Linked DNA regions of Arabidopsis thaliana. The protein of the gene in region 2 interacts with the protein of the main gene of each other region in a biochemical or structural test. Each region holds a gene or a part of one and is shown on either strand. Other genes may lie near its edges.

Evidence for each region. Proteins that work in one complex are often made in the same cells at the same time.
Region 1: the proteins of SRF8 (region 2) and AT3G03770 form a complex in vitro, tested with the Arabidopsis thaliana proteins (one large-scale study listed by BioGRID).

What each region holds. Positions count from the first base shown.
Region 1 is NC_003074.8:944,573-951,274, forward strand, and holds AT3G03770 (Leucine-rich repeat protein kinase family protein), read right to left. Parts: upstream 4,667-6,702; 5' UTR 4,307-4,666; exon of another isoform or gene 4,224-4,306; 5' UTR 4,132-4,223; intron 3,931-4,131; 5' UTR 3,865-3,930; coding exon 2,529-3,864; intron 2,435-2,528; coding exon 2,301-2,434; intron 2,208-2,300; coding exon 1,967-2,207; intron 1,871-1,966; coding exon 1,665-1,870; intron 1,592-1,664; coding exon 1,548-1,591; intron 1,380-1,547; coding exon 1,268-1,379; intron 1,189-1,267; coding exon 876-1,188; intron 754-875; coding exon 731-753; 3' UTR 505-730; downstream 1-504. Other genes in the region: LBD20 (LOB domain-containing protein 20), read left to right, coding at 1-101.
Region 2 is NC_003075.7:11,721,426-11,728,220, reverse strand, and holds SRF8 (STRUBBELIG-receptor family 8), read right to left. Parts: upstream 4,834-6,795; 5' UTR 4,489-4,833; coding exon 4,389-4,488; intron 4,053-4,388; coding exon 3,920-4,052; intron 3,819-3,919; coding exon 3,747-3,818; intron 3,648-3,746; coding exon 3,582-3,647; intron 3,516-3,581; exon of another isoform or gene 3,493-3,515; coding exon 3,421-3,492; intron 3,335-3,420; coding exon 3,263-3,334; intron 3,187-3,262; coding exon 3,115-3,186; intron 3,022-3,114; coding exon 2,956-3,021; intron 2,877-2,955; coding exon 2,811-2,876; intron 2,735-2,810; coding exon 2,200-2,734; intron 2,114-2,199; coding exon 1,842-2,113; intron 1,755-1,841; coding exon 1,619-1,754; intron 1,541-1,618; coding exon 1,401-1,540; intron 1,299-1,400; coding exon 1,142-1,298; intron 1,043-1,141; coding exon 890-1,042; 3' UTR 528-889; downstream 1-527.

The DNA.
Region 1 (6,702 bases), on a different chromosome or scaffold from region 2:
AGGATGAGGAAGAGAGCGGTGCTGATTTTTCGGTGGCTGTTGGATCGACGGCGGTGGCTTCGAAGGTTATATTTCCGGCGGAGGATTTTCACCGGAGATGAATGTATTACCTAGGGTTTGTCTTTAATTTAAATATATCTCCGTTTTTATAATAATGTTGAGAAAGAGAATAAGTATATCCAGCAGACGTATACTATACATGTAGAGTTGTCGTGAAATATTTGAATGAGATATATGCATGTAGTTATTGGTTAATTATCATACTAGTTGGAATTAACTGAATTTACATACGAATCCAAATTAATAAATAAGTAAAGGATTTGATGATCCAACACCAGCCATTATCCTCTATTTTGATTTCTTGGACAAGAAGAATCAATCAAGCAAATCTTTTCTAAACCCTAGAAATCGGTTCCATCTCAATTTCTATATACAATTTTAATTTATTTTCGCTGAACAAAACAGGAAGAAAAAACGATTGAATTTTCCAAAATTATCTCACCATTGTTGGACTTGTATTCCTTTTGAAGAATAAAAATTAACCGACACTGTTCTTTTAAGTAAAGTTTATAAGAAAAATTAACTATATTATTAACTGTTATGATCGTTTAAGCTCAACACAACTAAAGACAAAAAAACAAAAACAAACATCAAATTACAAACAAAAAGGTTATGTTCTTTCCAAAGAGTAGTGATCAGTGAACAAGACCAAACAAAAACCCTCGTCTCTCTACCTCTCATGTTCTTCACATCCTGCAATTACAACCACACAAATAAGTCTCAGATCAATAAACTTATTCAATCTCAAATCTTTAACAATCAAATTCTATTCTGAACTGAATCAATTGATCATAAAAGATCGAGTTCAAAAATACCTGAATCTCGGGGAGATTCGAGTGTTGTTACGTGTAAACGAGAGGGAGGAGGAAGAGAGGAAGCAGCAGGAGAAGGCGAGCCGAGATTGCTCGAGGGATTGCTGTTTTGTAGCCAACCTTCTTGAACTTGAGAAGCAAACTGAAGATTCCACAGGACATCTTCAATGGAAGGACGTTCTAAAGGGTCTTTAAGGAGACACCTTACACATATCTCCATCATTGTCTTCAGTGATTGGTCTGAACAAGCTCTATGGACCGTTGGATCCACCATGCTCCTACGTGCTCCATCATCCGCTGAAATGCTTGCTTGTAACTACAACAAATAAAAAAGAGTTTTTAAAGTAGATGATAGCGATTCCACATCAAGCTACATATATATCGAATGGTGTTACCTGCTCTTTTAGAACATCGACTTGACTCTTTGCTCTCAATGGTCTTCCCACTATAAGTTCAAGCAATATCACTCCAAAATCATAGATATCGATTTTATCTTCGTCTTTGATGCTGTTAAGAAACAGAGGATTAAACCATATAAACCGGTTTACAAGCTGATGAGAAACAGAGGATTAAACCATATAAACCGTTTTTGATTCTTTTGAGAAACAGAGGATTAAACCATATAACCGGGTTTACAAGCTGATGAGAAACAGAGTAAAGAAGATTATTACACACCTTGGAGTGCCTTTAGGTCCGCTCCGAGATCCTACTTGCCCCACCTTAGAAAGGAAAGCAAAAGAGATTCAAAATTCAAGAAACAAAAACATTCGAACTTTTGACATCGTCATTTACCTTTCCAAGACCTTCCACAAGCAATGGAAGATTATAGCTACTGAGTTTCGCCGCAAGGTTATTGTCAAGCAAAATGTCTGTCATTTTAAGGTTGTTATCATAAACACCAGGCACAATACCGGTATGCAAGAACTGGATCCCTTTTGCTACACCTATCGCTACGCTTATGCGTTGTTCCCAAGTAAGCAATCTTCCCATGTGCCCATCTAGCACAGCAGAGACAAGAACAATCCGATTTAGTTATTAAAAAATATATAATGATCATCTTCATTCTTAAAACACATGATGTTTCAGTGTGGTACCAGAAATCCAGGTCCTGAGTTCTCCATTTGGGACATACTCAAAGACAAAGAACATTCTGCTGACTGTTGAATCATCCAAGTAGCACTCGAAGCAGTGCCCGAGCACACTAACCAAGTGACGGTGCCGCAGTTTAGCGATGAGCTCAATGTGATGCATCAAGTTTTGTGTGCTGCAACTTTTCTTCATTTTCAGACACCTAATTGCCACAAAGGATCCATCTTTCAATCTCCCTCTATAAATCTGAAAAGAACAATGAAAACAAAAATCTTGTTTGATTCAACTGTTCAAAAAATGGAAACTAGCTAAAGAAAGATTGAAGCTTCACTGCTGTACCTGTCCTTGAGAACCTTCACCCATGAAAGCAGAGGATTCAAAGTTATTTGTTGCATACTCGAGCTCCTCCAGTGAGAATGTCCTGTAAGCTGGAAGACCGAGCCCTCCTAGCTTCATTGTTTGAGAGATATACCCTTCAAAGTATTGCAGTTACAGCACAAGTTATCAATGAAGACAAGTTCTATGTAATCTATGTGACAATATGTGAGAGATATTTTATCCTCTTACTTGCATCTGATAGTAGTTTCGATGTGTACCCCATTGAAGCATTCTCTCTAATCAATCTTGGGGAAGATTTCGTCACTGTTTTCTTAGCATTTAATCTCCTAAGAACCACAAATAAGGCACCGGCGAGGAGAAGTACCCCGAGAATGCTTGCGGTTACACCTAAAGCAATACCCACTTTGGAAACTTTGTTCCTCCTCTGTGGTAGGATTCCAACAGCAAGAGCTTCATTACTACAAAAAGAAACTGGACGTTGATCTTCATTCGTAGTAGCCAAACAGTTGCTTGCATAGACAACATCTCTGCTAGTGCCGGAACTCGGTTTAAGGCAAGTAGGCAAACTTCCGGTAAGAAGATTTGATGACATATCTACAAACATCAGCTGTGAGTTGCAAGAAAGATTTGCTGAAAGCCGCCCGGTGAGTTTGTTGTGTGAAATGTTCAAGTAAGTTATCGCGGGAAGAGACATCAAGGAAGTAGGAAATGGACCAACGAATGTATTGTAGGAAAGATCCAAATGTTGAAGCTGATACAGAGAACTTACTTCTTCAGCTGAAACTGCAGATCTAAACTTGTTCTTGCTGAGTATAAGAGTAACCAGCTTGTTACTTAACCGAGGAAACAACGGTCCAAAAGAGTTTCCTTCAAGATCAAGCACTTGAAGGTTTGTCAAATGGCTTAAATCAGGCAAAGCTCCATTAAACCGGTTATTAGCTAAAGCAAGAACTCTAAGACCTGACAAGCTACTCAAAGAAGAAGGCAATGACCCATTAAGCACGTTCTTTCTCAAGCTCAACACAGCTAAACTCGGCAAAGAATCAATCCAATCCGGTAACTCACCAGAAAACATATTCTCGTCGAGTATAAGCGTCTGAAGAGTAGCAAGCGACGAGAGTTCATGAGGGATTGGTCCAAAGAGGAAATTGGAACTCACATTGAGAATCTCCAAAGAGGATAAACGGTTGATTTTCTGAGGTAACCAACCCCATAACCCAAGGGACACAAACGTGAGAACTTTAACATCAGGGAGCTTAACAAGAGTAGTAACAAACGAGTTTATTGAGAAACTCTTTGGTAACATATGAGTTCCATTGTCTCCTATAATGTGAAGCTGCGTTACACTATCTTCATAACACACAACGGTTAGCGAAGGGCTTGGCTCAGAATTGCAGAAATCTGTATAGTTGTTCCAGCTGTTTAACACTTTGGGATAGTAGAGAAGCTGTTGCAGCCTCAAGAGGGTTTGAGATTGAGATGATTGTAGCTGTGTAGAGCCATCAATGGAAGCTAAAAGCAGAACCAGAAGCAGTAACGGCATGCCACAATAGAGTTTCTCCATAGCCACACAAGACCATAAAACACACACAACTACTAAATAAAATCATATAAGCATCATCATCAAAACCTGCAAAGAGAGAGACACATTTCATTCAAGAATCACATTTATATATAATGTACTTACAAAACAGGGTCCACTCTCAAGATCTTGATATTTTAACCACTTTCTCGTTAATGCATTAAACAGAAGAGAATCTTAGAAATCAATCTTCAAACTAAAAAAATATGATTTTTGCATGTGAATTCCAGAAAAACAGGAAGAACTCACCACATGTGTTACAGAATCTCCTCTTTAAGACACCTTGCAAGAAGAAAAGATGCAGGAAACTTTTGAGCACAAGAGATTAAATTTTATTTTTCCTGGAAACAAAATTTGGTTTCATCAGAGTAAGAAGAATGAGAAAATGAAAAGACAAATCGTTTCCTTTGAGATGAAGAAATACCTCTGCAAACTTATGAAGTAACTGTGAATGGAATATCGATTTTATCTAAAGAAACAAAAAAAGTAGCAACTTGATTTAAAGAAGAAAGTGAGAAAAGTTCCCAAGAAAATCCTCTGTAAGAGATGAAAGTTCCTCAAGGAGCTTTAAAAACATTCAAGATTCCTTCACGAGTGATTATTATATCTTATAAGAATAAAACAGAGGATACTCTGGGAACAATATTAACCCAACAAACTTTTTTTATTTTTTAAATAGACAATAAACAAAAACAAATTCTGTAAAATCAATGCAAAAACATTTTAGCAACCATACGATTTAGTAAATTGTCAGTGGCTAACGACAGAGAGTTTGGTCCTCCTCTCTAAGTCTCCATCACGAGATGAAGACAACGATAAATTCTTTTTACAAAAATAATTTTAAAACAAACAAACAAAATAGAAATAGAATTTTTTTGTCCAAAAAATAATCTTGTAAGTGTTCACATGCATTTTTAACAAATTAAAAAAGAAAAAAAAAAAAGCGAATCCAACAGGGTCTGGCCGACGTTTTTTTCTGATCTTTTTATTTTTGGTTGTCTCACTATTTATACAGTACACAAAGTAAATTATTTTATCAGCATTAAATATGTTCATATTATATTATCACTTTCAAAAAAATAGGGACCAAAGAGAAATCCACTCCAGCCAAAGCTGTGGCCAAGAAAAAGTAAAAAGACAAAAAAAAAAAGAAAGATAAAAAGGTAATGATAAGAGAAATATTCTTTTAGGGTTTAGGCCTTTAGGGGGATGATCTACAAATACGAGTCTGAGGCAAACAAGTCTTTATATAGTATAGATTTAATTTTGATATTTTTTTAAAGTTTCTTATATGAATATTAATTTGATTGAGAAAAGTCTGTCTATCAATTAATTGGGTATGCTAAGTTAAACAAGATTAATCAAGAATGAGTAAACAAAACCAAGTAAATTAGTGTAACTCTAATTTTGTTTTGAATTTTGATCATGTAAGAAAGCTGAAAACAAACTAAACATAAAAACCACAACAACTACACCGGAATTTTATCAAAAACTAGGCTTAAAACCAAACTGAAAGAAAAAAAAAAGATCCATCCAAAAACTTAAATCTGAAAGAGGTAATATATATATTTAAGGTGAAAATAAAAAGAAAGCGAAGTTGTGACACATACTGTAATGTAAGCTTTCGCACGAAGGCATCTCCATCAGAAAGGTCACACCAGACTTTTAAAGTGACACATGTAGGTCCCAATCTTCTCCGACCTTTTCAAAGTTCAAGAAAACAATCTTAATACAACAAATTAGCTCACATATAATATGATCAATAAAGAATAACATGCAAGGAATTGGAAATCAAATTAACAAACAATTTAAACTAAACTCGTGTATTTAATCATATTAAATTGAAACTAAGGCATGATGTCTTAATCTCTTGACTACTCTCACGTGCCATGAGTGATTCATCTTTTTATTAATCTTGTAGTTTTTTTTAATATGATTCATAGTTGCAGGTATAAGAAAACAAGTAAAGTAAATGCTTACAAACATAAGAAAACAAAATTCTGTGAAATTTTAGTCCACCTGGTTTTATATAAGCATCTTCTTCTGTTAGATTTTTCTGTGCATCGTTTAGGAATAAATATTTAATTTTAATTTATCTTATTTTTTTCCTTCATTTTGCGTGTTTCATTTTTTGGTTAGTTTTGTTTTGTATCTGTTGGTTGCATGTCTCAATAGTCAATGTCGTCGTATACAATCATAGTTTAAATAAAACTAAAAATTGTTGGTGCAGCTTATAATCGACTAGCCAACTTTAAACAATACGAAATAGAACGTGGTAATTTCCAATTTCGATTTCTTTTTCCTTAACAAAAAAAGATTGATCTTTAATTTGGTAGACGAAAAGAAAATTAATAACGGCTAGAAATACATTTATACGACTATTTTAACTGGTAGTGAAAATTGATCGACTGGCAACTATAAAATTAATATATTATGAAAATTTATTGGCTAAGTGAAGTAATTTGAGATTATTTCATAGAAATACATTTATACGACTATTTTATGTTTTTTTCTTGATTACTATCATGCATTCATATGTTACATTATTCTGTTTTTATCACATAAATATATATACACTACATTAAAGTGATTTGTAGAAAGCGAAAGCAAATACTTAATTAAGACGTACGTTAGAGCCTAGAGGAGTGTGTGTGTGTGTGTCATTTTCGTCTTGCGGTGTAATAAATTAGGTTAGATGGTTTGTTCAACATTAAGATTTATTGTGGTTTTTGTTAGGTATGTCGTAATTGTGAAGTGATCATTTGCTAATTTATCAACCGCATCCTCAAACTAATCCTTTAATTTTATTCGACTTTAGAA
Region 2 (6,795 bases):
CTGAAATGTCTGGCACTCTAAGGAACCCGTTTTTTCCTTCCTATTTTGTGCCCAAAGTCTTGTCACCGATATTAACAAGGCTGAAATGTTTTCATCATCAGGTGGAAACGAAGCGCAGAAAAAGGTAATCGCGAGTTCTTGGGGATAAAAGCCACAAGAGATGATAAGTTATATAACTTGGGAAGCTCTTTGGTGCAGATTTTAGTAAGTTAGGGTTTATCTTTGTCGGTCTTTGTCGTCTATGGTTGTGATGTCTGTATGGTGCGTTCCAAAACTTAGAGAAATGTGAAAAAGAGGAGAGATCAGAGAGATGATGAAGAAAACTATGTTGGCAGAATCAGTTGTATAGACTTCCGTGGGGTTTAAGTTAACTTTAGGTTTGTTTATTGTTATGGTCTGTTGTTATTTTGTGGCTGATGAGAACAGATGAACATGAACAACGCTTTTGACTTGGGTCATCTCAACAAAAATTAACATCAGATCTATCTTTCTTCTTAATCATGCTTCACTTTTCTTAAAGAATCAAACTGGCTTCTACGAAATTATTCAACAACAAAGAAGAGCTCTTAAATAGGCAAAATTTCAAATGTTATTTTGATGCAGCAACAAGTCTCATACTTGATTATTCAACAGGTGAAGAGAAAATGGTACAAGAAAGATGATTGAAACATGGTTATGTACTCTAATTTTACTCTTACAAAAATACACAAACATATATTTTCTTACACTTTTGGTATGAACCAAGATGCTTCTTTACTTCTCTGTAGTCCTTTGGATCAGATTCTCTTATGCATTGAGCAAAACTCTCTCTTCCTTTTGAGTTTTCAAGCTGCATTTTAGCTTCGAATGACAGAAAAGACCCGATTTTGGAGTAGTTTTGGATCATTACTCAGAATGAGATATCGACGTGCTCGTGTTCAGGTGTCCTGTATGAAAATCCAGTGTCATCACTTGATCTTCGTTTGACAACACTTGCCCTTTGAACTAATCTTACTAGCTGTTGCACCACCTCTGACATTGGAGGCCTGAACTCTGGTTCCGGCTAAATTAACAAAGAAAGATAGAGAGATATGGTTACTTTACAAAACAATTTCGGTTTTGTTCAATTAGGACATTCTCCAGAGTTTGGATGGTATTTTACCTGAATACAGAGAGCAATGATGTCCGCAAAACGAGACAGTGACTTAGCTGGATACATGCCATTAAGAGAAGGATCAACCATTTTAGACAAAGCATCTATATCGTGAAGCTGCGGTGTTGCCCATCTCACTAGTGATTGCTCTGCTCTCGTCCTCGAGCTACACATACACAAAGCACATTTTACATAAGGAAACTCAAATCAGGCTTTTGCTCACATTGGCTATTGCTCAACATTGGCTACTAAAAATATGAAAAGAAACCTGTCAAGAGGCTTCCGACCAGTTAAGAGCTCAAGCATGACTACTCCAAAAGTGTATACATCACTTTTCACTGTGTAAATTCCCGACAGTGCAAACTCTGGAGCGCTGTATCCAAATGAACCTACCACTTGAGTTGAAACCTGTTGACATGCATAAACCATGAAAGACTCAGAAAATGTTTCAATTAGATTAAATCTGATTCTTTCCATTGTTATTACCTGTCTCTCAGTGTTAGGTGTCAAAGCAGCTAAACCACTGTCTGATAGGTGAGGATTAAGTTCTTCGTCTAGCAATATATTCGCTGATTTGAAGTTTCTATGGACAATTGAAGGCAAGCAAACTTCGTGCAAGTACCTAGAAAAACAAAATCAGAAAACTTTGGTTTAAGATGAATGTTGTTCATTAAAGAGGCTAGAAATAATCATAACAATTTGCACATACTCTAAAGCCTTGGCAGTTCCAAGAGCCACTTTAACACGCGCATTCCAAGTCAGATTCATGCTTCTATCATCATTCGTGTGAAGCGTATCATCTAGATTCCCATTTCCTACATATTCATACACTAGAAGACGTTGACCATGCTCGGTGCAGTATCCAGCCAAGGGAACAATGTTTGGATGCCTCAACCGCGACATATTTGAAACGGCTTCTAAGAAATTATCTTCTTCTTGTAATGAAAGTGCTGCATTATCAATCTTCTTAATCGCCATTATCTAGAATTATGTTACACAGAAAAATTTAGTTCAAAGAAAGAATATTAGCTTTGCTTAGTGTAGAAAGCTGTCAACTTTTGAGTTACCTTTCCATTGGGGAACTCTGCTCTATAGACACGGCCTAGAGAACCTTCACCAATGATGTTTTCTTGACTAAAGCTGTTTGTTGCAACTTGCAGAGAGGAAACAGTGTATTGTGAAGCAGTGATAGGAGATCTTATTCTACTTATAGAGCCGTTCTTCATAACGCGATCAACCGTTACTTTTTCTGCAGGTGAAGACTTCAAGTCTGCAACGGATGCTACACTTTTTACCCTCTGCTCCTGCACCTCAGGTGTTCCACTAAGCGGAAGACTTCTTTGGGAAGCTCTTGTACTTCCTCTAACTTTCCGTTTTTTCTTGTGAAGGCACAAGTAAAGAACAAGTGCTATAATACCAGCAACAAATAGAGAACCGAACACTATACCAGTGACTACTCCACCAGACAAACCCTTGCCAGAGTCTGAAGATTTCTCTTCAGAACCAATTTTGGGTTTCTTAGAACCAGAAGGTGTCTCTTTTTTGCCAGGTCTTTCTGGCTGAGGAGAGGCAGGGACGTTATCAAAGGAATTACCATCATATCTGTTTCATTTAGGAATGTCAAAGACATAAACTTACAGTTTAAATTGAAATTAACAGATTGTTATTGAAAACTTACATTAAGGTCTGAATAGAACTAAGCTCCTTAGGTATGGATCCATTGAAATGATTGTTTGCAACATTTCTGCCAAGAAAACATAGACGGTAAGTGTGATGGAGGAATATATACATTCGTTTCTTTTTCTACTTGCAATGAAACTTACAAAGTTTTCAAAGGCAACCCCGAGAGAACATCGATGGAACCTGTCAATTGATTGTTCTGAACATAACTGTCACAAATGAAGATAATCAGATATTATCATGGAATTTCCTTTCGCACTTCTTAAGTATTGTTCCACTAAAGATTGTTTGAAAGCACTTACAGAACGGAAAGTGTGGACACTGTGCTTAAGGAACTAGGAAGATCGCCACTGAAGTTGTTATGAGAAAGGTCCCTGAATAAAGAAACAATAGATCAATGGAAACTGGAAGTGATATGACTATGCTAAAGTGATAGGTAAGCGATCTTACAAGGTTGCCAGTGACTTATGATCAGCAAAGATATCTCCTATTGACATTGTAAGTGAATTACCACTTACATTCCTACACAATAACATTTCAAACTATAATACATAAGAAAACTAAACATGCTAATCTCACAGTGTATGGTTCTAGAAAGGCAAACTCACATATACGAAAGAGAACCCATGGCGGATATGGAGTATGGAAGGTTACCACTTAGGTTGTTTCTCGCAAGATTTCTGCATTACATTTTCTTTAAACTGTTAGTTTCAAATTGAAAACTGAGAGTAAATACTATAACAACAAAGCTAAGCAAACACAGCATTACAGGCTTGTGAGATTCGGTGGCAACTGATATGGAAGTGTATCATGGATGCTGTTACCACTAACATCCCTGTAACCAAAACGAAAGAGACCAAAGTTATTGAACCAAAATCCAAAGAGCAGAAAGATCAAACAAACAAAAACAGAAGGAAAATTCCAAAAACAATACAATTTTCTGAGTGACTTAAGGTCTGAGAGCAAGTATCCAAGAGTGCCAGAGACTCCTAAATCCGATATATCTCTGTTACAATCATAACAACAGAAAACAACAACATTATAAGACAATCACAAATCAATGCAAGTGGAAAGAACAAAAATAATACTCAAAATCTGATTCTTTACATAGTGACAACTGCAGAGCCCTCACAAGTAATCCCTTTCCATGACTCTCCACATGGATCACCACCACCATTTTTCCAATTGGTTAGCTGTGAAGGACTATTTAGTGAAGTATACAAAACTTGAAGGGCTTGAACTGCAATAATACCAGAAAGAAGAAAACAGCTCACAAGTCAGAAAAACACATCAAAGGATCTATCAAGAAAGAAGAAAAATCTTTCATAAAGTTTACAACTTTCCTTTTTGAGCTAAAAAAGTAAGTAAAGCAGAAATATTATTTTCCGGCGGGTTCTCAGGAAAACAGACGGTGTCAAAAATCATCAAATCTACATTAATGCAAAAGGGTTTCATCTTCTAAATCTAAAGTAATCAACTTTTAAAAACCCTTCACTCTCAAATCACATAGATGATCAATCAAAACAATGAGGTTAAAAGCAGAGAAGAAGAAAACTCATAAAGCTGAATACTTTACCATCAGATGGATCAGTAACACAACGAACAACAGAGAATCCAGAGATCGAAGCAATGAATAGAAGCAAAACAGTAAACATAGCTCTATCTCCAATAGCCATTAGCGTGTCGGTGTTGGTGATCACGAGCTTGGACTTCCATTGCAGAGAAACATAGCCATGAAAGGTCCAAAAGAGAGAATAGACAGTGACAGAGAAGAAGAAGAAGAGTAACAGTGTGTGTTGGGGATAGTAGTAGTTAGAGACATCGCCATTAAAGAAAAGGATAGGTAGTGAGAGAGTGAGAGATTGAGAGATTGATTCCAAGCTTGCTCTGAGTTATGAAGAGAGAGAAACTATTTTTTAGTATATAATATTTTAATTCAGGTTTATTTTATGATTATTATACTAAAAACCTCTGTTTCTCCGTAGATTCATTCACATTAATTGGTAAAACGTATTTAAGACTTCATTTAACTCATAAGACAAGATTGTTAATAGTAGTTAATATCACTGATTCAATCATTTATATAAGTCTTTTTATACTTTATCTTGTGTGATTGATATGAGATTGTTGAATTTCTTGACCATATTTGATAATTGAATCTGACTTACTGACTTGTGTGTTTGTGTTGGTGTCGGTGGGAGTTTGGAATTTGCTTTCATTTTATTTTTTCAACATATTTTAATGTTTTGGAGAACAATTTTCTATGTATATTTAGAGTGATTTTAATATGAGAGTAAAAAAATAGTAAATTTTGGGAGGCAACATTTGACTCGCGTTCTTTTTGGGCTATTTGGCTTTCGCTATCAGTTTTGTTTTGCTTTTTCCAAAGCCTTTTCTTCTTTTGTTAATCCTCTACTTGTGTTCTTAAATTCCTTATAGTACACCTTCTCTGCCACGTCTTCGAGTTAAATTCTACCCATTTGGTTATCAATTATTTGTACTTGCTACTGTAAAAGCTCTTTCTATATATCATCATCTTTACGAATTCTGAATCTATCATTTATTGACCAGCCAACTCTAAAACATTTTGTAGGACATACTTACATTGAAGACACTATGCATGAGTTTTTTTCATAATAGTAAAAGTATTTTGTAAATTATAGTTGAATATTGAGTGAGTATATAAGAACCAAATTGGCTTATTGTTGGTGAGAAAGTAAGTTGGCTGACTTTTTTCTGAAAAATGATTTGACGATTAGAAACACTCGGCTTAATTAGTTGGCTAGTAAATTCAACTACACAAAACAAATTGAGGTTTTATAAAACAGAGTTACAATTTAGAACACACAAAAGAATACGTGAAGGTTGTATTTTGCAAAAAAAAATGTAAATTTTGAGAGAATTCTAAAAAATGATATAGCAGCAAAAAGGAAAACGACAGGATATAGATGGACAAAAGAAATGTGGGATAGTTTCGTGAAAACGACTAATAATAGACTACATAGAGTAAAAGATAGTATTGTCCACTCATGAAATCCACGAGCATAATGTTACCTTTTGGCCTGTTCTCATGTTATATACTTTATTTTTTTGTACTCTTATGAAAACTATTATTCCTCTCATGTTAATCAATGAGTAAAATACACATTTAAAAGAGACTCTACTTAAAGCTCAAAGTGAAATCATGTGTGGATCCAATCTGGCTAATAGCTTATACGCCCGCTTGTTCTTGACAGAGAATAGAACATCAATGATATATTAAATCAACTTTTTTCCCCCATTTTATTCATCTTTTCATTATATCTTTGATACAAAAAAAGTTTAGAACGAGATTTTTCTTGGTTTTTCATTCTATATGTTTTTATACAAAGTTTAGAACGATATTTGAATTTGAATGGTAGAATCATATAATTTGTCTCTTACGTCTTACCAATAAATGAATTCGCCGGACACTGGAAACCATAAATTCGTGTAGTTTTATGTTACTTTGTCACATTCATGTAGTTTCATTCGTTTACATTTTATATATCGTATAATTTCTTATCTTTTGTATTGTATAGGTGAACTAAAAAAAAACACATGAACTCAATGTGGGGTAAATGAGGGTTATTAGGAAGAATCAGTATTGCTTTTTTAATGTATTGAAAGAGAGACTTTATTCCATGGAATGAAATCCCGTGACCTTGTATTGGATTATTTTAAATAACGTATATCTATTTTATAATTGAGCATTATATAGAAAAAAAACTTCAGTGTGTTGGTTACTGTTGTAAGTTTTAACTATTTATGTATATATATTTTCATGAAATCTTAACTTCTTTGGAACAAGACTTGTTATAAATCACATGGAAAACTTAAATTTTGATGAGTAGTTGAGCTAATCAAGTCAGACAGTTATACGTAGCAAAAAAGATTAAATTAACGTTACAAGTTTTCAATTATGTAAATCCTAACGATTTTTTGTAGGTTGATGCATCAAAATC